Diceros bicornis minor: one gene and its partners. The protein of the gene in region 1 interacts with the protein of each later gene in a pairwise test. Links are inferred from orthologs where the notes say so. Each region holds a gene or a part of one and is shown in the gene's direction. Other genes may lie near its edges.

Evidence for each region.
Region 2: the proteins of TFCP2 (region 1) and ZCCHC10 interact in binary tests that used the Homo sapiens proteins (3 or more experiments, as listed by UniProt). The two-hybrid records come from large-scale screens. The link is inferred for Diceros bicornis minor from reciprocal best matches to the Homo sapiens genes TFCP2 and ZCCHC10.
Region 3: the proteins of TFCP2 (region 1) and ZCCHC12 interact in binary tests that used the Homo sapiens proteins (3 or more experiments, as listed by UniProt). The two-hybrid records come from large-scale screens. The link is inferred for Diceros bicornis minor from reciprocal best matches to the Homo sapiens genes TFCP2 and ZCCHC12.

What each region holds. Positions count from the first base shown.
Region 1 is NC_080756.1:18,723,385-18,730,342, forward strand, and holds the start of TFCP2 (alpha-globin transcription factor CP2), read left to right. Parts: upstream 1-3,932; 5' UTR 3,933-4,339; coding exon 4,340-4,461; intron 4,462-6,958.
Region 2 is NC_080740.1:52,289,408-52,296,561, reverse strand, and holds the start of ZCCHC10 (zinc finger CCHC domain-containing protein 10), read left to right. Parts: upstream 1-4,144; 5' UTR 4,145-4,163; coding exon 4,164-4,204; intron 4,205-7,154.
Region 3 is NC_080781.1:109,511,254-109,518,443, forward strand, and holds the start of ZCCHC12 (zinc finger CCHC domain-containing protein 12), read left to right. Parts: upstream 1-4,180; 5' UTR 4,181-4,349; intron 4,350-4,690; 5' UTR 4,691-4,742; intron 4,743-4,759; exon of another isoform or gene 4,760-4,807; intron 4,808-4,935; 5' UTR 4,936-5,075; intron 5,076-5,482; 5' UTR 5,483-5,591; coding exon 5,592-6,800; 3' UTR 6,801-7,190. UniProt on the Homo sapiens protein: Transcriptional coactivator in the bone morphogenetic protein (BMP)-signaling pathway. It positively modulates BMP signaling by interacting with SMAD1 and associating with CBP in the transcription complex.

The sequences.
Region 1 (6,958 bases):
ATGAGATAATATACGTAAAGAACCTAGTCAGGGTTTGGCACTTAGGAAGGGCTCAGTAGATACGGGCCTGTCATTATTATCAGCTATTATTTGCTCTGTGTCTGGACAGTTCCTAGGACTGTACCACCAGCAGGGAGGCATCACTGTAGGCAGATCTCAGCTATAAGAATCAGGGACCTGGACTGTAGTTCCTGGCTCAGCTGCTAATTTACGTAATATTTGTTACATATTCAAGACCACACTTTTTGGGTAATTTATGAAGCAAAATGATGAAACAAATAATAACTCACAGATCTACTGTTACCTGGCCCACTGACCTCATAAGGCGTTAACCACAACCCTGCTCAGAACAAGCCTAACACGTTCTCTTTAACTTACAGGAAACCACAAAGAGAGGAAGGAGGAGATGGCTGAGACATAGGTCAAATCCAGTTAAAACCGGTTGAAGGCAACATGGCAGTCCGACTTGACCTGACATAGACCCCACAGCTCCTCATATGCTCATTATAGTACATTACCACATTACAGAACACACACACCGACGCCATGACAGTTTACAACTGCCATGGCAACCGCAGGATATAACCAAATAAGAAAAGAGGAGGCACCCTCGCTCCCCAGAAAAGCCTGCCCATTTCCCCAAATAACTATGAATATTCCTCCCCTTCATTACCTAGACCCCTTATAACAGCTGCTTAATCACCCCAGGAGCTGACAAGTGGATTTGTGAACTTAGGTCCCGCTTTTCCATTCTTTGACCATTGAACAAAGCTTGTGCCGCTGACCTCTCAGCTTCTATGTCATTTCACATCTGCGACACCAAATAGGAAAGAACCCTTCAAGGAAGGGACAGATTGTGGGTACAGGGCCCACATGTGGGCCCCTCCTTGGAGCTCCTCTGAGTGTGAGTGAGGTGAAATTCGTAACACCACCACTCAACTTAACTACCACTGTTGAAGCTACTTTTGAGTTCCTCCTCTACCAGCACCCCACCACCCCCACCACATTTTCTTATATGTGGCCACCACAGAGTCTTGTTTATCTTTTCACGCCCCCCCCCCTTTTTTTTTGTGAGGAAGATCAGCCCTGAGCTAACTTCTGTTCCCAATCCTCATCTTTTTGCTGAGGAAGATTGGCCCTGGGCCAATATCTGTGCCCATCTTCCTCTACTTTATATGGGACGCTGCCACAGCATGGCTTGTTAAGCGGTGCGTTGGTCTGCGCCCAGGATCTGAACCTAACCACTACACCACCTGGCCGGCCCCTTCCTTCCTTTTTTAAAGGAATGTGTGTATATTTCCCTAAATGATATATTGCTTAATTTTGCTGGGGTTTGAGCTTTATAAAACGATGTTACACTGCATGAGGACTTCCCCATTTTCCCCCACGTTTCTAAGATTGATTTATTCACTTGGTTGAGTATAGCTTTATTCATTTTTTAAAGTTTTATTCATTTTTACTGCTGTATAATCTTCTATCCCACGCCAATTTATCCGTTCTCTTGTTGGTGGACATTTGTTTTGTTCTGTTTTGTTGCTATAAATAGTGTTGGCATGAACATTCTCATACAAGTCTCCTGGTACATATGTGCAAGAGTTCTCTAGGGTTCATATATAGAGTGGAGTCGCTGAATCACAGAATAATTCTCAGGATGGTTTCTAAAGAGGTTGCAGTCTGCTTGAACACTCTCCCTCTCTTAGTTTCAGTTTCTGCATAGTAAAAAAACAAAACAAACGCTTTCATGAGGATTAAATAAGACATATTTAATTATGTTTTAATTAAATATACATTAAAGTGATACCAAAATTATAACACACCATACAATGTAAATTAATGTTTTTAAATAGGATGATAATACCAACCCAATCTTAACAGAGAAGTGGAAATGGGGTAGTAGGAGACAGGAGCTAACATTTATTGAATAATTATTATTTTTGTGGCATCTTGGCACTTCATTTAATCCTCACAATTTTAGGAGGAGGTATTATTTTCACTAATTTATGGATTAAAGTACTGAGGCTCAGAGATGTAAAGTTATTTGCCCAAGATTATGCATCTAGTGACAGAGCTGTTGTTCAAACAAGGCATGGTTCCACCTAATAGATGTTTTAAAATACTCTAGATACACTGCTTGAATACAAAGGATTTTGCCAAGACTTGGATGCCAGAGCTTATTAAGGTAAGAAGATGGGTAAGACTAGAGCCCTCAAAGAGAGAAGACTGTAGCTGAAACTGGGGGTATGCTGTCAACTTCATGTCAACCTCTCTCCTCTCTTTCTTTCCTTTTTAAATTCAATAAGTATTTTTTAAAGTCCTATTGAATGCAGGAACTATACTAGGAGATATTAAGAACACAAGCCTGAAGAAGACTTATTCCCTATTCTTTAGGAGATCACAGTCTAGAGAAAAAGGCAGATATATACGAAATTATAATTCAAGGTAGATTGTAAAAAATTCAGTAGTGGAATACAATGAACCAATACTTTCACATATAGGCAATGCCTTGTAGTGAAAAATGTCAGGCTTTGGAATCAACTCTGAAGTTGGCACACCAATTTAGCTTTGGCCAATTTAAGCCCTTAGCCTCCTCTCCTTATTGGTAAAATCAGGTCCATAACACTTACCTTTAGAAAGATAATTCTAGTCACAAGATTGTCTTGAGGATTACTGATAATGTAATAAAGTTCCTGCCATATAGTTAATGCCCAATAAGCAATGGACATTATTATTTAATCCCCAAAGGAGGAAGGTGGTGCAGGTATGGTTATTCCTACATTTCAAATGAGGAAGCTAAATCTCAATGAGATGAAGCTATTATTCTGAAGTCACCAAACTAGTAAGTGAAGATGCCAGCCCAAATTCCAATCTTTAGACCACTACCTTTTTTTGTGTGTGTGTGAGGAGATCAGCCCTGTGCTAACATCTGCCAATCCTCCTCTTTTTGCTGAGGAAAACTGGCCCTGGGCTAACATCCGTGCCCATCCTCCTCCACTTTATTTATTTTTTCCCCCCAAAGCCCCAGTAGATAGTTGTATGTCATAGCTGCACATCGTTCTAGTTGCTGTATGTGGGATGCTGCCTCAGCATGGCCGGAGAAGTGGTGCATTGGTACGCCCCCAGGGATCCAAACACCCGCCGCCAGCAGCGGAGCACGCGCACTTAACCGCTAAGCCAGGGGCAGGCCCCCAGACCACTACCTTTTAAAAACCACAACACTTTCACCCATCTCATGCTTTCCTGTTCAAATGCACTAGGAAGAAGGCAGAAAGTAAAATGATCAAGGGAAATCGGATTTAAGCAGTCTTGACCTCCGGAGAAGTGAGTCTAAGGACAGAGAGTATCTCAGGAGGAAACGAGCACGCGTCCGCCAGGACTGGGTGTGGGTTCGGTACACCTAGAGCGAAAGCTCCACCCACGCCTTAGGGTTCCGACTCGGTAAGTAGCGGATGCCAAAACTCAGGTAGCCACAAGGAGGGACGTTTAAACCGGGACACCTGACGCACGCCGGGCCCTCTCCCGGATTGCCCAGCCCATCTCCGGGGGGCGGGAAGCCGTGTCGTAGCTAGCCTATCATCACTGCCGAGGCCGACGACGTCTCTTCCCCATTGGCGGGCGGCAGAGTGACGTCACGTTCGCCGGACCGGCAAAGGAAGAGGGCGCCATGATTGGTTGGCGCTGGGGCCGCGGGCGGTGGAGGAGCTCGGCGAGTCTGGGTTTCACGCCGGTGTCGGACTTTTCCCTTCCATGTGTCGAGGCCGTGGGGGGCTGCAGAGGGAGGGGAGTCGGCTCGGCGGAAACCTGGATTTGGTTCTAAGAGCCGTGGGGTTGAGCGGGGGTGACCGGAAGTGATCTTGGGACTGACCGGAAGCCAGGCCTGGAGGGGACAGGGAGAGCGGGTCCCCGGAGGGAGGGGGCTCCCAGTGGAAGGGGGCGGGGGGAGAGGTGGGAGAGCGGAGTGGGAGCGCCGGGTAGGCGGCGCGTGCCGCTGCTGGTCTGTTTGGAAAGCAGTGTGACCACCACGAACCCAAGGAGTGGGAGTATGGGAGTCCAGGGCTGCCTCTGGGCAGTCTGGAGTAGTTAAGCAAAGGGGCCCTCGTGCGGCTCCAGAGAGCTGGGTGGGAGGGGTTTTCAGTCGGGGCAGCCAAGAGCAAGGAGGCAAGGGTACGGGCGGTTAGTTAGATTGTGCGGGCAGTGCGGGTTGGGCTTGGGGGTGGCTGGTAGGTACTGTGTGGGAGATCTTGGTTTGGAGTTTTCTACAGTCTTGCCCCTGGTGGGTAGAATCACACTACTCGCCTTTGTACAAGAAAACGGTGTCTCCTGGGGCAGCGAAGGAGCCAGGATGGCCTGGGCTCTGAAGCTGCCTCTGGCCGATGAAGTGATTGAATCCGGGCTGGTGCAGGACTTTGATGCTAGTCTCTCCGGGATCGGCCAGGAACTGGGTGCTGGTGCCTATAGCATGAGGTGAGTGAGATTTTCCCAGACCCTGCACCTTCTGAATAACAAAGGCAGGATAGAGAATAAGGAAAAAAAAAAAAAAAAAAAAAAGAGGTGTATAGAGTTAAAGAAGCTGTCTGCGGGTAGGGAAAAGGGACTTGTTTCTTAGGTTGCTTTGAGTAGTGATTGTTGTGGAAGAAATGGAACAAGAGATTGTAGGCATGTCAAGTCTGTGCAAGATAAGTCGAAGAAAGAAGGGCCTTGGATTAGCAACCAGATGAGAGGTTGTTGTGCCGGTGTGGGAGACTTGGAGACTGATGGTGTGTGTGGATGGGTTGGGCTGGACTTGTGTGAAGAGGAGGCCAAACTGAGCATGTGAGAGAAATCTAGGGAGTTGGGGAGTTGGGAGGTAGGCTTAGTGAAAATTGTTTGCTTTTTGTGAGGAAATGTGAGACCTTGGTGAAGAAGTTCACCCATCCGTATTTTAGCCTACTTTAAGACTTTACTTAGTTCTAGGGTTTCTGATTTTTGAAACATAAGCTGTGAAATGAAAAAGTGTCATAGAGAACTTTTAGATGCTTAGACCTTCGTATATCAAGCTAAATGCTGATAATAAATAAAAGTCTCCTTTGAAAGCAGCATAACTTCCCGTGTAATTTATTTGCATGCATTAGCTATTTCATTCCCCCAGCAGTTTGTTTCATTTATAGGATGTGCAAGAATCACGTCTGGAAATGTTGAATTACCAGCATCTTAGGGTTAGATGGAATATAATTGGGGTTCCAAATGCATTTTAAGGCTTAATCTAAATAAGTAAGTCAAAAGAGATGTTACAACTTAACACTTTAATTGAGTTTATGGGTTTATAGGGGAAAGACGCTTTTTATGGAGGACAAATTCTGCATCTGATAGTGAGGTCCTTTGAGAGTTATGTAATTGAAACTTCCTTTCTTTATCCCTGCTAAACCAAAGTCGACTTTCCTCACTGAAGTAAAATTACGAGTTAGAACTTAATAGTTCATCTTCAGAAATCTTTGCTTACAGTTAGGATAATAAAGGCTCTCCTTGTATACATATTTTCATGATTTTTAGGGAAATTTGAGTTCTATCATGCAATGCTGTTAGTCTTGAGGAATTTAACTCTGGTTTTGCCTGTCATTGTTTACGTAAGTCTGACCATAAAAATAGAGATTAACTTGGTCTGAAAGTAAATGTCCCAGCCCTGAGCTTGCATGTCAGTTATCTGACATAATATTTGACAGTTTATGCTGTTCATGTAAAGATTACTACAGCAAAAAGTTTGGTTTTGTCTAGGTTATTGGATTTTGGGTTGGAGATAATTAAATATAACTGTACTTGTTATAAAAATAGTTAACATTGTCAGCAAACATTTGCTCATCTACTACGTGCTCTCTCTACCACGCAACCTTACATTTGTATTTTCCTGTGTCATACCCTGAGTGGCCTTCACAGGTATTAGTAGAATGGCTTGCATATGTACACATTTAGAATTTTTTTCCATCATCAAATCCGCGTGAGTTTTCAAATATCACTTTATGTTTTCCCCAGAGCACACTGTGCCAAAATTTTAAGTATTTTTTTCACCTTCCTCTTTTTCATCCATTTTGCTTTTGTAACTTCTCTTGACTCTTACATACATTTAATCATTTGCATTGATTTGTGTTAATTAGATATTAGTTGTCAAACTTGAGCATTCATGAGAATCATCTGGAGTTCTTATTCAAAATAGTTTCCAGGGCCCCATTTTCCGTGACTGGGGCACAGACCAGAAATCTGATTTTTGTAAAACAAGTTCTTAGATGATTTTGCTGCAGGTAGTCCAGGGACCCTGTTTTGAGAAACACTGGCTGGAGCAGTTTTTAGACACAAAGACAGTGATTCTTTGCTCTTCCTGTAATTAGACCTTGTGATCGCTTGTCCTACACCTTTTTTAGGCAAGATGTCCTCTTTGACAAGCAATTTGTTTTGTAAAATATTTTCCTTAATGTATTTATTTTACCCTAGTTTGCTTATTTTCTGCTACATGGTATAATAGTTTCGCTTCATATCTGTTAATTTATATTTGATGAAGATTCATCTGAACTGGATTTCTGTTTTTGATTCTTGATCCGCCATTGTATTCAGTAAAGTTCTTTTCATAAGTGGTCCTTGAATATTCTCCTTACTTTTTTCCTTATGTTTTAATACATGGCACAAACTTTATGGTTAAAATAAAGGAAATGCCCTGAAAATATGCTGAGTGAAAGAAGCCAGTCGCAAAAGATCACATAACATCTGATTTCATTTCTATGAAATGTCTAGAATAGGCAAATCAATAGAGACAGAAAGTAGATTAGTGGTTGACTAGAGCTGTGGAGGAAGAGGGACTGGGCATGACTGCAAATGCGTACTGGTTTTTTTTCGGGGGGGGTGATAAAAATGTTCTAAAATTGTGATGATGGTTGCACAACTCTGTGACCACACTAAAGACAATTGAATTGCACACTTTAAATGGATGAATTGT
Region 2 (7,154 bases), on another chromosome or scaffold:
GTTTTCCTAGAATAAAGGAATAGTCTGCTTAAAGACTGGTAAAGTGTTCATCCTCGCGAAGGGCCGGCCCCGTGGCTTAGCGGTTAAGTGCGCGTGCTCCACTGCTGGCGGCCTGGGTTCGGGTCCCGGGCGCCCACTGATGCACCGCTTCAGTGCCACGCTGAGGCAGTGTCCCACATACAGCAACTAGAAGGATGTGCAGCTATGACATACAATAATCTACTGGGGCTTTGGGGGGGAAAATAAATAAATAAATACAATTATAAAAAAAAAAAAAAAGTGTTCATCCTCGCCAGAGAGAAATTACTTGCAGCTTTCACAAGAGTTTTTAATTTTTTCAGCTTCTACTCATTAAAGTTTACAAAATTTAGCATCTGAATTTTAGCCAGGGTCCTCTGGACAAAGCTGAGGGTCCCTCAAGCTCATGGGCCTCAATGGGAAACAGCTATATTGACTTGGTCTTGCCACTGAAAAAGCAAGTTGTTATCGTATTGTGTGTGTGTGTGTCTGGCCCCTGTGTTGAACTCTCTAGAAGCTTTTTTTTTTTTAATTTTATTTATTTATTTTTGCCCCCATAGCCCCAGTAGATAGTTGTATGCCATAGCTGCGCATCCTTCTAGTTGCTCTATGTGGGTCGCGGCCTCAGCATGGCTGGAGAAGCGGTGCGTCGGTGCACGCCCGGGATCCGGACAGGGCCAGCCAGCAGCAGAACGCTCGCACTTTAACCGCTAAACCACGTGGCCGGCCCTCTAGAAGCTTTTAACTAATTCTTTTTTTTTTTTTTTTGTGAGGAAGATCAGCCCTGAGCTAACATCCATGCCAATCCTCCTCTTTCTGCTGAGGAAGACTGGCCCTGGGCTAACATCCATGCCCATCTTCCTCCACTTTATGTGGGACACTGCCACGGCATGGCCTGACAAGCAGTGTGTCCCTGTGCACCCAGGATCTGAACCCGGGTCACCAGCAGCAGAGCACCCCCATTTAACCACTACGCCACGGGGCCGGCCCCTTAACTAATTCTTTAGGCTTTCCAGGTGTGCGACCAAATCATCACAAATAATGTCATTGCTTCCTCCTTTCGATTTGTTATATCTCATTCTGTCTCTTGCCTTTTCACATTTGCTATAATGCAGTTTCTTTTAAAATTAGCTGGCAAAAAATCTGAGTATTATTTTGTGGGAAACTTGAAAATTTGAGAATAAAGCTCACCTAGGAAAATAAATGCCTAGGAGCAATAAGGAAAATTGAGGAGAAAGAAAGATTAATGAGGAGGGACTTGCCTTATCAGATATCAAAATATCCTATAAAACCATGGAAATTAAAACTATGAAACAAATACTGGCACAAATACATCTTTGGAAGAAAATAGAATGTCCAAACAAACTAAATTTGTACATATTTGGTACATGAGAGACTGGCATTTCAAATCAGTAAAGAAGTGATAGATTATTTAGTAAATGGTATTTCAAAAACTAAAAATTAGGATTAAGAATATAACCATAATTGTAATTAAAAAATTACAATAAAATACAAGAAAAAAATTTAATAATCTTTTTTTTAAAGATTTTATTTATTTATTTTTTCCCCCCAAAGCCCCAGTAGATAGTTGTATGTCACAGCTGCATATCCATCTAGTAGCTGTATGTGGGACGCGGCCTCAGCGTGGCCAGAGAAGTGGTGCGTCGGCGCGCGCCCGGGATCCGAACCTGGGCCGCCAACAGCAGAGCGTGGGCACTTAACCGCTAAGCCACGGGGCCGGCCCTAAATTTAATAATCTTAAACATAGGGGCCGGCCCCGTGGCATAGCGGTTAAGTTTGAGTGCTCCACTTTGGCGGCCTGGGGTTCCCCGGTTCGGATCCTGGGCATGGACTTACTGCTCATCAAGCCATGCTGAGGCAGCATCCTACATAGAAGAACTAGAAGGATGTACAACTATGACATACAGCTATCTACTGGGGCTTTGGGGAGAAAAAAAAAAAGGAAAAAATGACGAAGATTGGCAACACATGTTAGCTCAGAGCCAGTCTTCCTCAGAAAAAAGAATAATCTTAGACATAAAAGGCCATACTAAGCATGAGCCAAATCTAGGGACCTATAAAGGAAAAGATTGTTAAAAATGCCTATACAAAAATTTAATGCCTCTGTACAGGGTAAATGATCACAAAGTTAAAACACAACAGACAAAATAGGAAAAATATTTGTAAAATATAAAACAGCATTTATATGTAAAATATTAAAAGTTTCTACAAATCAATATTAAAAAGATAAAAATCCAATAGAAAAATAGGCAAAGAATTTGAACAGATAATTCATGAAAGAAGTACAGTCTTCAACAATCATATGAAATGTATTTAACCTCACCAATAATATATCATATTGGCTTATTAGATAGGCAAAAGTTTAAAAGTTTGACCATTCTCAATTCTGGTGAGAAAGTAGGATTTGGTTGCACAACCTATTTAAAAGACAATAGGTAATATATATCAAAATTAAAAGCACACATATCCTTTGACCCAGCAATTCTACTTCTAGGAAGGAAGTCATCTTACAGAAACATAGGTGAACGCTTAAAAATCCATTCATTCCATCTTTGTGGTAAATGGTCTAATGGTTCAACAATAGGGCACTGATTGGATAAATTGTGGAATATCCATATAATCTACATAAAGTAATACATAAAAAGAATGAATTAGATCTGTATGTGCTGATATGGGAAAAGATGTCCATAAGCACATTGAGGAATGAAGGAAGCAAACTGAAGAACAGAATAGTTGGTAAGATTCCATTTTTTTAAGAACAAGATGTGCTCAAAGGTCACATGACATCACCTTCTCTAGCTCCCAATGGTAAATCTCTCTTTACCTCCTTACCCTGAATCATTTTTCTTCAGAGTATTTATGTTCATTGGACATTGCCTTTGTTTATTGTCTCTAGAAAGCTCCATGTGTACAAGGACTTTATTTGTTCAGTGCTCTATCCCCAGTTCCCAAAACAGTTTAGGTGTTCGATAAACAGTAATTGAAAAAAATGAATGGGGACTCATAAATATGCACACATATATATTTCAAAAAGTTATATATAGTTCAAAGAACGTGGATTTAAGGGAATAAAATCTCCATGATCTGATACTAAATGCTAAAATATCCTAAAATAATTAATATTTGTCTAGGGCCGGCCCCGTGGCTTAGTGGTTAAATGCGCGCGCTCTGGTGCTGGCGGCCCGGGTTCGGATCCTGGGCACACACCAACGCACCGCTTCTCCAGCCATACTGAGGCCGTGTCCCACGTACAGCAGCTAGAAGGATGTGCAGCTATGACATACAACTATCTGCTGGGGCTTTGGGGGAAAATAAATAAATAAATAAATAAATAAAATTAAAAAAAATATATATATATTTGTCTAATCTTTTCCCAGTTGACAAAGCAGCTTTACTTAGTCTCATTTGGTTCTTGTAAAATCCCTATGAAATACATAAAAATAGAAATAATTAACATATATTTGCACTTTATGGTTTGCTAAAGTCAGTCTTTCAGTTGATGGTCCCAATCCTGTTCTACTCATTCCTTTTTTTTTTTTTTTTTTGGTGAGGAAGACTGGCCCTGGGCTAACATCCATGCCCATCTTCCTCTACTTTATATGTGGGACGTCTGCCACAGCATGGCTTGATAAGCAGGGCATAGGTCCGTGCCCTGGATCTGGGCCTGCCAACCGGAGGCGGCTGAAGCAGAGTGTGCGAACTTAACCACTATGCCACCTGGCTGGCCCCAACTGATTCCTTTTTATTTTGCTCTCCAGACTACTTCTAGTTTTCTGAACACTGCACAGTTTTATTCATATATATATGACTATATATTCATAAAATATATATACTTCCCTCACTTGAGAATGTTTTTCTCTGCCTCTCCACTCAATTTACGCGTACCCATCCTTCAAAACCCTGTACAGGCTGGACAAATGGCCTCACTTCTCTTCCTCAACCTAGAGACCCACACAGCAGACACAACACCCCAGCCTCCCACCCATTACTAGCCCCAAAGGTTGTCCCGAAGGCCCGAGACGCCGGCCAGGCTCCGCCCACGCCTGTGGCCGGCGGGTTCGAAGCCCCCGCCCCCACCGAGGGGTTTCCCAGCATGCAGCGCGGCAGGCCTCAGCCGCGCTAACATGGCGACTCCCATGCATCGGCTCATAGCCCGGAGACGAGCGTAAGTGAGGGCCGGAGTCGGGCTGCGGGGCGGGCTGGGGGCGGGGAGAAGCGCGTCAGCCGGCGGGTGAACGGGCGCCGGGATGCCGGGCCGGCGTGGGATCCTCAGTAGGGAGCGGCAGAGGGTGGCCGTTTTTTCTCGCAAGTTGCCTGCTCCTAAGGGGCTCGGGCTCGGGCCCGGGCGATAAGTTTGGTGCCCATGGGGTAGCGATTTCGTGAACTACGGCTGCGTAAGGTCCGCGGTGCAGGATCTAGGGGGTGTCTGAAGAAAGCCTCGCGTTTGGTTCTCACGAAGGGGACGCCCAGGAGTTGGTCCGTAAGTGGTTTATGCCCCTCTGCCACCCACCTGGCCACCCCATTCGTAGCCAAGAGAAGACTGAAGCCCTGATCCGACACCCCCGACTCTCGCCGACGTAAACCTTCAGCTCCCTAAGCAACCTCCAGCCCCGCTGGCTTTTCCTACCCACTTCCTCTCGCCTGTTCCTCGGGAACAGCCCGACTACAACGCCGATTTTTCTCACAAGCTGTAGTCTCACTTTCTACCATTCGTTTTCTTCAATAAATATTAATTTATTCATTGCCTGCTGCTTCCTGCCAGAATTGGGATCTAAAGAAAAAGAGGTGTTCAAGACATAATTCCTGCTTTCAGGGAGCTTACGTTCTAGTGGTGGAAAGAATCGGTAAACTAAACATTTTAAGTAAATCCAGTTGGTGATAAGAGCTTTGAAGGAAATAAGAGGTGATGGAAAAAATGAAAGGCCCAAGTTAAGTTGGTTGGACTGGAAAGGCATCTCTGAAGAGGTGGCATTTGAACAGAGATCAAAAGTGTGAGAAAGCCAGTCATGAGAGGATTTGGGGAAAGAGCATCCAGACAGTGGCATAATTGCTTTGAGGCAGGAAAGAGCCTAGTTTTTAAGAACTGAAAGATGGCTATTGTGGCTAATGAGTGAGAGAGTGGCACAGAAGTTTGCTGTGGTCAGATAATGTGGTAGTCATCTCAGATGCCCCTTTCTTATAAAGCCTTTTTTCTTCTGCCAACCTGTACACCCAAACAATGTCTGTCACTTTTTCATTCTCTCAGCATTTCATATCATCACCATTTACACGCCTATAATATATTGCTCACAGTCTGCTAGCATATATATGTATGTTATATTTCTTTTTATATTTATATTTTTTATCTTAAGATCCGTGTTCCTTCTCTTCTCGCTCCATTCCACTCTACCTCTCATGCCTGATGAGGAGAATTTGTTGAGCATAAGGATAAAGACTTGGGGTCAGAGTAGTATGCTTGGTGGAGGAAGAAGGCTTTGAAGTCAGACAGTTCTGAGATCAAGAATGGAGTGATGATAATACTTAATGGGCATGCTAAATGACGTCACCACGGTCTAACTTTCAGATTTGCCCTTTTGGGTGTTGGTTCCATACTTAGATAGATTTACTCCTTTGGTCCCAGGATGGCTGCAGTATCTAGGATCCTGTATATCCCCTCAGCTTCAGGTTGATGGCATCTCATTGATCTAGATTGGGTTACATGCCCAACCCTAAACCATGTCTGTGAGATTGTGAAGCTCTGATTGACTTAGATCTAGTTCTCTTCCCAGCACAATTGAATGGATCTCTATAAACCAATGATGAGCTGGGTGGGTAGGTCAGAGGAGGTCATGAATGCTGGATTGGCAGAACCAACCAATGTGCACTGTAAATATGAAGTGAAAGTGAGACTTTTAGCACCTAAAGAATATCGCACCATTTCTTGTTTTGTAAGTCTTAGAAAGTTGAACAGGTGTTCCGTTTCTGCAATCTGCCTGTATTTGGTACAGGAGCTACACAGAAGTAAAAGACAAATCTTAGCGTTAGGAGCTTCTGATCTTGTTGGGAAGAAAACATATGGTGTATAATAAAAAGTGTCATGGTATACAGACTATATAAGTCCCTAGGGAGTCAGAGAGGGAGGGCCTTTAGAGGCTAGGGGAGTCCAGGAGAGTTTGGGAATATCTGGGGGGGGGGGGGAAACAGAAGAGGAGACTTTACTTTTCTTTCTTTCTTTCTTTCTTTTTGCTGAGGAAGATTCGCCCTGAGCTAACATCTGTGCCAGTCTGCCTCTATTTTTTAGTATGTGGGCCACCAGCACAGCATGGCTGCTAACAGAGTGGTGTAAGGCCCATGCCCGGGAACCGAGCCCAGGCTGCTGAAGTGGAGCATGCCGACCTTAACCACTAGACCACCAGGGCTGGCCTTACTTTTCATTTTATATTCATCAAAAAGGTTTAATTTTATTTATAAGGAGTATATATTACTTCCGTAATAATAAATTTTAAACTTTTTAAGTTATGGGAAATGAGAAAGCACTATTGTCATTCTTTTTAAGTCTTTGGACTAATAGAGGAAAGAGGGAAATAAAAGAAAAAAAGAGAGAGCTTAAATTTGAACTCCCCATTCAGCAGATCTTTCAGGCACTTAACTTTAAATCAATCGAAATGAGATTATTTTCACTTTTTAAATTGTAATTACATCTACTCATATGTGAGTAGATTGTAGAATCTTGGTACTATCTGGGGTCGTTTCTTCTGCTAAACCCTCTGCTGGATTCTACTGCTCTCTCTTCAGTATCCAGAGTAATATCTAACTTTGGCTAGAAGACCTCCAGTAAGGACATACCTCCTGAAGTAGCCTGTTTCATTTTCCAAATTTATCAAAAAGTTTATATTGAGCTGAAAGGAAAATAATATTGATGAAGCTAAACCTGCTGCCTTCTAACGTCCCAGCTTTTGACCTAAGCTATAATTTCTGTCAGTTAAAAACCCTAAGTGTTTTCCACTTGAATTGCCCTCAAGTCAAGCTTCCCCGGTCTTGTATTTGTATTGGTTTTCTGGACTTGTGTCCGACTTACTTTTACCCTTGTTAAATTTCATCTTGTTAGATTCGACACTAATTTCCAGCCTGTCAAG
Region 3 (7,190 bases), on another chromosome or scaffold:
TCTATCACTTATATACTATTTGTGTGATTTATCTCTCTCCATCTTTTTATTGTCAACCTCTCTATCTTTATATTTTGGATTTGTCTCAAATAGCATATGCGAGTATTTATTAATCCCATTTGACAATATTTGTTTTTCTTTTTTTTTTTAGGAAGATCAGCCCTGAGCTAACATCCATGCTAATCCTCCTCTTTTTGCTGAAGAAGACCAGCTCTGAGCTAACATCTATTGCCAATCCTCCTCCTTTTATTCCCCAAAGCCCCAGTAGATAGTTGTATGTCATAGTTGCACATCCTTCTAGTTGCTGTATGTGGGACACGGCCTCAGCATGGCCGGAGAAGCGGTGCGTCGGTGCGCGCCCGGGATCCAAACCCAGGCCGCCAGTAGCAGAGCGTGCGCACTTAACCGCTAAGCCACGGGGCCGGCCCCGATATTTGTTTTTTTTAACTTGAGCATTTAGCTCATAAACATTTAATAAAATTACTGATATATTTGGGTTTCAAACTACCATTTATTTTGTGCTTGTATTGGTTCCATCTATGTTTCTTTCACTTCTTCTTTCTTGACTTTTGAAAAAAAACTGAGAATATTTTTCTGTTATTCAATTATTTTCCCTCTCTACTAGTTTGGAAATTTTCATCCTATTGCTATTATTTTAATAGTTACATCCTATTAATTCCTACATGCATAATTATCATATCAAAGTGTAAATTTAATAAATATCTAAATCACTTCCGATATAATACAAGGGCCTTAGAAAAGTTGAACTCCATTTATGCTCCTCCTGATGTCTTTTGTTATTGTATGGTACTTTAAGTTTATTTTTAAAAAACAGAATAGATGTTTTTGTGATTCCTTCTTCCGTCAATATTCACTTACATTGCCCACATACTATCACTTTCCTTGCTCTTCATTCCTTCCTGCATTTCATTCTTCAAAGATCATTTTCCTCCTGAAGTACATCCTTTAGAATTTCCATTCGTGCAGTCTGCTGGTGACAAACTCTCTTCGGTTTTGTTTGTCTAAAAATATCTTTATTTCACCCTCTTGCTGAATATTTTCGTGAAAGATGCCGTCCTTGGGGTCCCAGCTTAGCATGGGCAGGATCTCCCACAAGCATCCCCATCCAAGCTTTGACTTCCGATGAGTCAGAGCCCTAGTGTGAAGTGCCTGCACGCCTTCAGCTCCTTGGATGGGAGAACAACGTCTATCTTAATAGAGTTGCCAGAGGTGTTTAAATGAGATAACAGATGGAAAATTCCTGAAACAGAGGAGGAAGGCAGCCAAAGGTAGCCATTATGGTTTCAATTGAAAGCTTTAGCTCCTAACTTTCACATTTTTAAATTTTATATTTTTGCAATTGGAAAATAAAATGTGGCCTCCTTAGAGCCACCAGAGTCTGAATCTTTGCAATTGGAAGTGTCCCCTGACATCCTGCAACGTGAGGCCAGAGATAAGGGATGCTCAATATCCAACTGGAGCCAGCTTAGCAAATCTCCTCGCAGCCCCTCATGGAGAGACCTTCGCTTTGTGCTAATGACCCAACCCAGGCACCTGATACACAATCCATTGCCTTTCAACATTTTTGTCAGAGCTCTGAGGTCTAGTCTTTGTCTTTTTTGATGCCACCATGTCCAACTGCAGATCACCTGGATTGGTGATGAAGCCATTTAAATTAGAGGTCAGGGTCATATGTCACAGCACTGGGGAGTCAAAGGAAGAGTCTAAAGGTAACAAATAAGCTAATGCCAGCATCATCCCTGACTCTGCAAGATGACCAACCTGCCTTCTCTCTACCTCCACCACCCTTCACCACCACCACCACCCCACTGTTCCATCCACAAGAGAAAGGCCACAGTCCTGAGATGGAAAGTACTTCGTTTCCAAATTTGGACGGTCTACTCTAAGGAGTTCTAAGTATTGAGACTGGAAATAAGAAAGCAGAAAGGAGCAGGTGAATTACCTTGGCAGGCTAAAGATGAACCCAACAGTGGCTGAAGGGCATTAGACTGTTCACTTGCTTCCAAGCATCAGCAGTGAAGAACAAGCAACAGCAACAACTTTGCACTTGGGAAGTCCACTTGTGCAGTGCATGCCACCACCACCCTGACCCCCCAAAATCTCCACAGGGACCTCCTAGCCACATTCTATATGAGGGAAAGAAGACATGCTTTCCCATAACCCAGTAAGTGTTCCCAGTAAGGGAAAATAGAGTGTTATGGGCTGAGTTGTGTCCCTCCAAAGTTCATATGTGGAAGCCCTAACTCCCAGTACCTCCAGAATGTGGCTATACTTGGAGATAGGGCCTTTAAAGAGGTGATTAAGTTAAAATGAGGCCATGAGGGTGGGTCCTAATCCAATTTGACAGGGGTCCTTATAAGAAGAGGAAATTTGGACATCAGGGACTCCAGCGCACAGAGAGACGATCCTGTGAAGAGGCAGCAAGTGGGCGGCTATCTGCAAGCCAAGGAGAGAGGCCTCAGGAGAAACCAGGCCTGTGAGCGCCTTGATCTTGGACTTCCAGCCTCCAAAACCGTGAGAAAATAAATTTCTGTTGTTTAAGCCACTCAGTCTGTGATACTTTGTTATGACAACCCTAGCAAACTAATACATGGAGCCACTGCTTTCATGGCTCATTCACTCCAGACAGCCCTGCATGCCATTTCCATGGAGTTGCTCCTTCTCTGGGGCCAGTGATGCCAAATGCAGCAAAGGAGAGGTCCCCTCAAAAGCTCACAGAAGGGGAACCTATCAACCTTTCCTCGAGTCGAGAAATGAAAGAGCTATATCAGCAGCAGAGAGCTGTGGTTCAGGGATCTAGTCAAATTGTTTCATTCCTCACACTTCTTTCACAACTACAAATTGAAGGAGGAAGGTATTAACGAAAAAAGATTTTTTAACCACAGACCCATTTAAAAATCTACAAAGCTATGGACTCAGAAAAATACAGAGTCTATATTAGTCGCCTATGGCTGCCGTAACAAATTATCACAAACTTGGTGGCTTAAAACAAGAGAAATTTATTCTTTCATAGTTCTAGAGGCCAAAAGTTCAACACCAATTTATCTGGGCTGAATTCACGGTATGGGCAGGGATGTACTCTGTTCCTTGCCCCTTCCAGTTTCTGGTGGCTGCCAGCATGCCTTTGCCTCTGTCTTCACATCACCTTCTCTTCTGTGTGCATCAGCTCTCTCTCTCCTTTTTCTTATAAGGACACTTGTGATTGGATTTAGGGCCCATTCAGATAATCCAGGATAATCTCCCCATGTCAAGATCCTTAATTTAACCACATATGCAAAGACTCTTTTACTTTATAAGTTAACATTTACAGGTTCCAGGGATTAGGACTTGATATATTTGGGTGACCATTATTCAGCCTCCTAAAGAGTCCAAAATCTTTGCATACAATTTCAGGAAGATCATGGTCCCAGGTAGGAACATCTCCTCTGGAATTGCATTTCACCACAGATATGCTGTGAACAGATACATTGGAGGGAGGTCCATTTACTTATTCCACATCCTCTCCACACCTCAAAATCAACTACAGAGCTGTTTAAAAATACAAAATACAAAATCACACTCCCAACTCTAGTCCTAGTAAATCAGAATCCTCCAGGAATCTGCATTTCTAACAAGCTCCCCAAAATGATTCTGACGCAGCCAGCCTTGCAGCCTTACTACTTTAGGGAATATTGGTTACCAGCCTGGGTGTCTAACTCACCTCAATGTCAAATAGACATACTGCCGCCTCCTTCACAGTAAAAGAGGAGATGTCTGTGCAAGCCTGTTTGCACAAAGACTTTTTTTGCACAAGAAAGCTCTAATGCTCTTTTTCTGATCCCCTTCCCCTATACAAAGGTGAAGAACTTTGATTTCGATCGCACCTCGTGTTTAATGCACCTGGCCTCAAGGCGCGGAGTTGAACCAAGGGAGAGAGGGAGAAGGGAAGAGTCGCAAACTCCTCCAGTCGGTGCAACCAAGCTGCACTTGACACCCCAAGAACCTGCTGCCCACCCACCACCCCCTCTGGTGTATATTTGCAACTGGCCCGAGGCTGCCCGGGGACCCCGCCTCCGCGCCCCGCTGATTGGCCGCGCTGGCCTGTTCGTCACGCTCTTTTGTCTCAGTGGGCAGAGGATAAAAGCAGCGGCGGCTGCCGTGGGAACCGTGCTGCCTCGACTCGGCTACCCCTCTCTGGGCGGCCTTGCGGAGCAGCTCCGCCCGGCAGTCCCAGGTCGCTTAGCGGCCAAAGAGGCGCCGGTCCTTTTCCCCTGCAGGGCCGCGGAGACCGGAGGAGGAATCTACGGCTGTCAACGCGGAAGTGTCAGCTACCCACCGGCCCAGCACAGGTAAAGAAAGAGGGCGCGATTGCCCGGCGCGGAGAGAGGAGGGGGAAGCCCCACCAGGACTGGGCGGCTCCCCGCTTGGGGAATCGAGAACTGCGAGGCAGAGGAAGGCGCACTCCCTTGGCCGGGCTGCGCTGAGGGAGGAGGTGGGGTTCCAGTGGATGCTGCCCAATGGGTAGGATTTGCCTGGATTGAGAGGGGGGAATTTTACCGGGTTGGGAAGAGGCGAGGGGGGAGAAATTGTAAGCTGTCTGCCTTGAACCCCCTTTGCAGGTCCTCATCTCTTCTTGGGGAAGAAAATATAGGTGTGCGTGTCCAACTCCTATTCCCTTTCTCCGTGGCAGGCCATCAACGCCGAATCCCAACTTGAATTCTGTGCGGCTGATTGCCGAGCTGGTAGGCCGACGGTTTCCCGGGGGAAATGTAACGGGGCGGGGGTCGTTTTGGCTTGTATTCAAAAGGTGGGAGAGGGGATTTTCCGCCTGGCTACAGCAGAGGCAACGGGGGGCGCGGGAGAGGGAGGGAGCGGGATGAGGCTGCTTCTGACCCTTCCCTCCCCCGCCCTGCCCTCCCCTCCGCGGCGTCGCAGTCTTGACGCTCGGAGGTCCGGGATCGGCGACCCCCGGTGGACAAAGGTCGACTGTACCTTGGAGGCGAGCTTTCTCATGGAGGCCACAGGTTGCAGAGGCTGGAAGTGAAATAAAGGCGCGCGCTTGTTCCTGAGCTCCTGTAAGAATCTGCGAAATAACGGGGGGGGGGGGGGTGGACGGACTTGGAGAAGGGGGTGTGGTAGAGACCTGAGACCGTGAGGTTAATGAGATCTTATTTATTCCCACAAAGCTGTGCCCATTGTGCTCTATTTTGAGAGCCCAATGTCAGCTCCATACACTATTACACTTAGAGTTAGAAGCAACAGTTGCCTCTTGAAGGACTGGCGGGAGGGGATGCTTGTGGCTGTAAAAGCACCCGGAGACACCGGCTGGCTCTGTGAAAATGCAATTGCCCGTCTCCAGGAGGATATTTTTAGGGCAGTGGGCAGATATAAAACGTACTGGAGGATATTCAGGAAGGGAGAGAATACGGCTGCGGCCAGTTCCCTTATTAACCCCTCCTCCCGTTTTTTTTCTTTTTTACAGTCTCTACTGAGATTGGATGAAAGCACTGACCCCCGGCACACCTGCAGATTAGGCTTTTCCAAAAAGCCTGAACATCTTGTTATATTCACATACCCAGTCATCGTCAGACATGGCCAGCATCATTGCACGCGTGGGTAATAGCCGGCAGCAGAAGGCACCCTTGCCGCCTTGGGCTCATTATATGCTGAGGTCCCTGGGAAGGAGTCTTGGTCCTTTAATGGCCAACATGGCAGAGAAGAACATGAAGTTGTTCTCTGGGAGGGTGGTGCCAGCGCAGGGGGAAGAAACCTTTGAAAACTGGCTGATCCAGGTCAACGGGGTCCTGCCAGATTGGAATATGTCTGAGGAGGAAAAGCTCAAGCGCTTGATGAAAACCCTTAGGGGCCCTGCCCGGGAGGTCATGCGTTTGCTCCAGGCGGCCAACCCCAACCTAAGTGTGGCAGATTTCTTGCGCGCCATGAAATTGGTGTTTGGGGAGTCTGAAAGCAGTGTGACTGCTCAAGGTAAATTTTTTAACACTCTGCAGGCACAAGGGGAGAAAGCCTCCCTTTATGTGATCCGTTTAGAGGTGCAGCTCCAGAATGCTATTCAGGCAGGGGTCATAGCTGAGAAAGATGCAAACCAGACTCGCCTGCAGCAGCTCCTTTTAGGGGCTGAGCTGAATGGGGACCTGCGCTTCAGGCTGAAGCATCTTCTCAGGATGTATGCAAATGAGCAGAAGCGTCTTCCTAATTTCCTGGAGTTAATCAAGATGATAAGGGAGGAAGAGGATTGGGATGACACTTTTATGAAACAGAAGCGGGCCAAGAGATCTGAGTCAATGGTGGAGAGAGCAACCAGCCCAGTGGCATTTGAGGGCTCCCCACCAATAGAGAGCGGCAGTGCTAACTGCAATGTGATAGAGATAGATGATACCCTCGATGACTCAGATGAGGATGTGATCCTAGTGGAGTCTCAGGACCCTCCACTTTCACTCTTGAGTTCTCCTCCCCCCAGATGCAGGGCCAGACCTCAGGATCCAGTGCTAGTCATTGATTCCCCCAACAGTTCCCGGGCTCAATCTCCTTCTACCAGTGGTGGGTCTGGGTCCAAGAATGATGGTCCTGGGGATATGCGTAGAGCCAGAAAGCGAAAATTCACAATCCGCTGTTCATATTGTGGCGAGGAGGGCCACTCAAAGGAAACCTGTGACAATGAGAGCAACAAGGCCCAGGTGTTTGAGAATCTGATCATCACCCTGCAGGAGCTGACACATACAGAGGAGGAGGGGTCAAGAGAGGCCCCTGGCGAACCCGATGATCCTTCTGAGCCACAGTGAGGAGCTAGCCTCCAGCCTTAAATGAACCCTAACCCATATTCAGAGTCCAGCAATGGGAAAACTGGGGGGGGGGGTGCTTCTAATTGCATGAATTAATCCACAAAGGTGCTGTCTTTTGGGGTGGAGGAGAAAAGTCTTGGATACCAGCACAGTGGAGGGAGATGGGCTGACCTCTGTCCTTTCTCTTCACCCCTCCTCCCCCGCTGCCTAAGAGTCTTTTTTCTGTGTGCCCATTTCCTTGATGGCTTTATTCTCATTGTGAAAGTGATACAATTCATTGTTAAATATTCCAACAATAAAGAAAAGTACAAAAGTACAAACCTTCCACCCTTATAGAACCACTGTCAACCCTTTGATGAATGTTCTTCTAGATATTTCCCTATACCTATG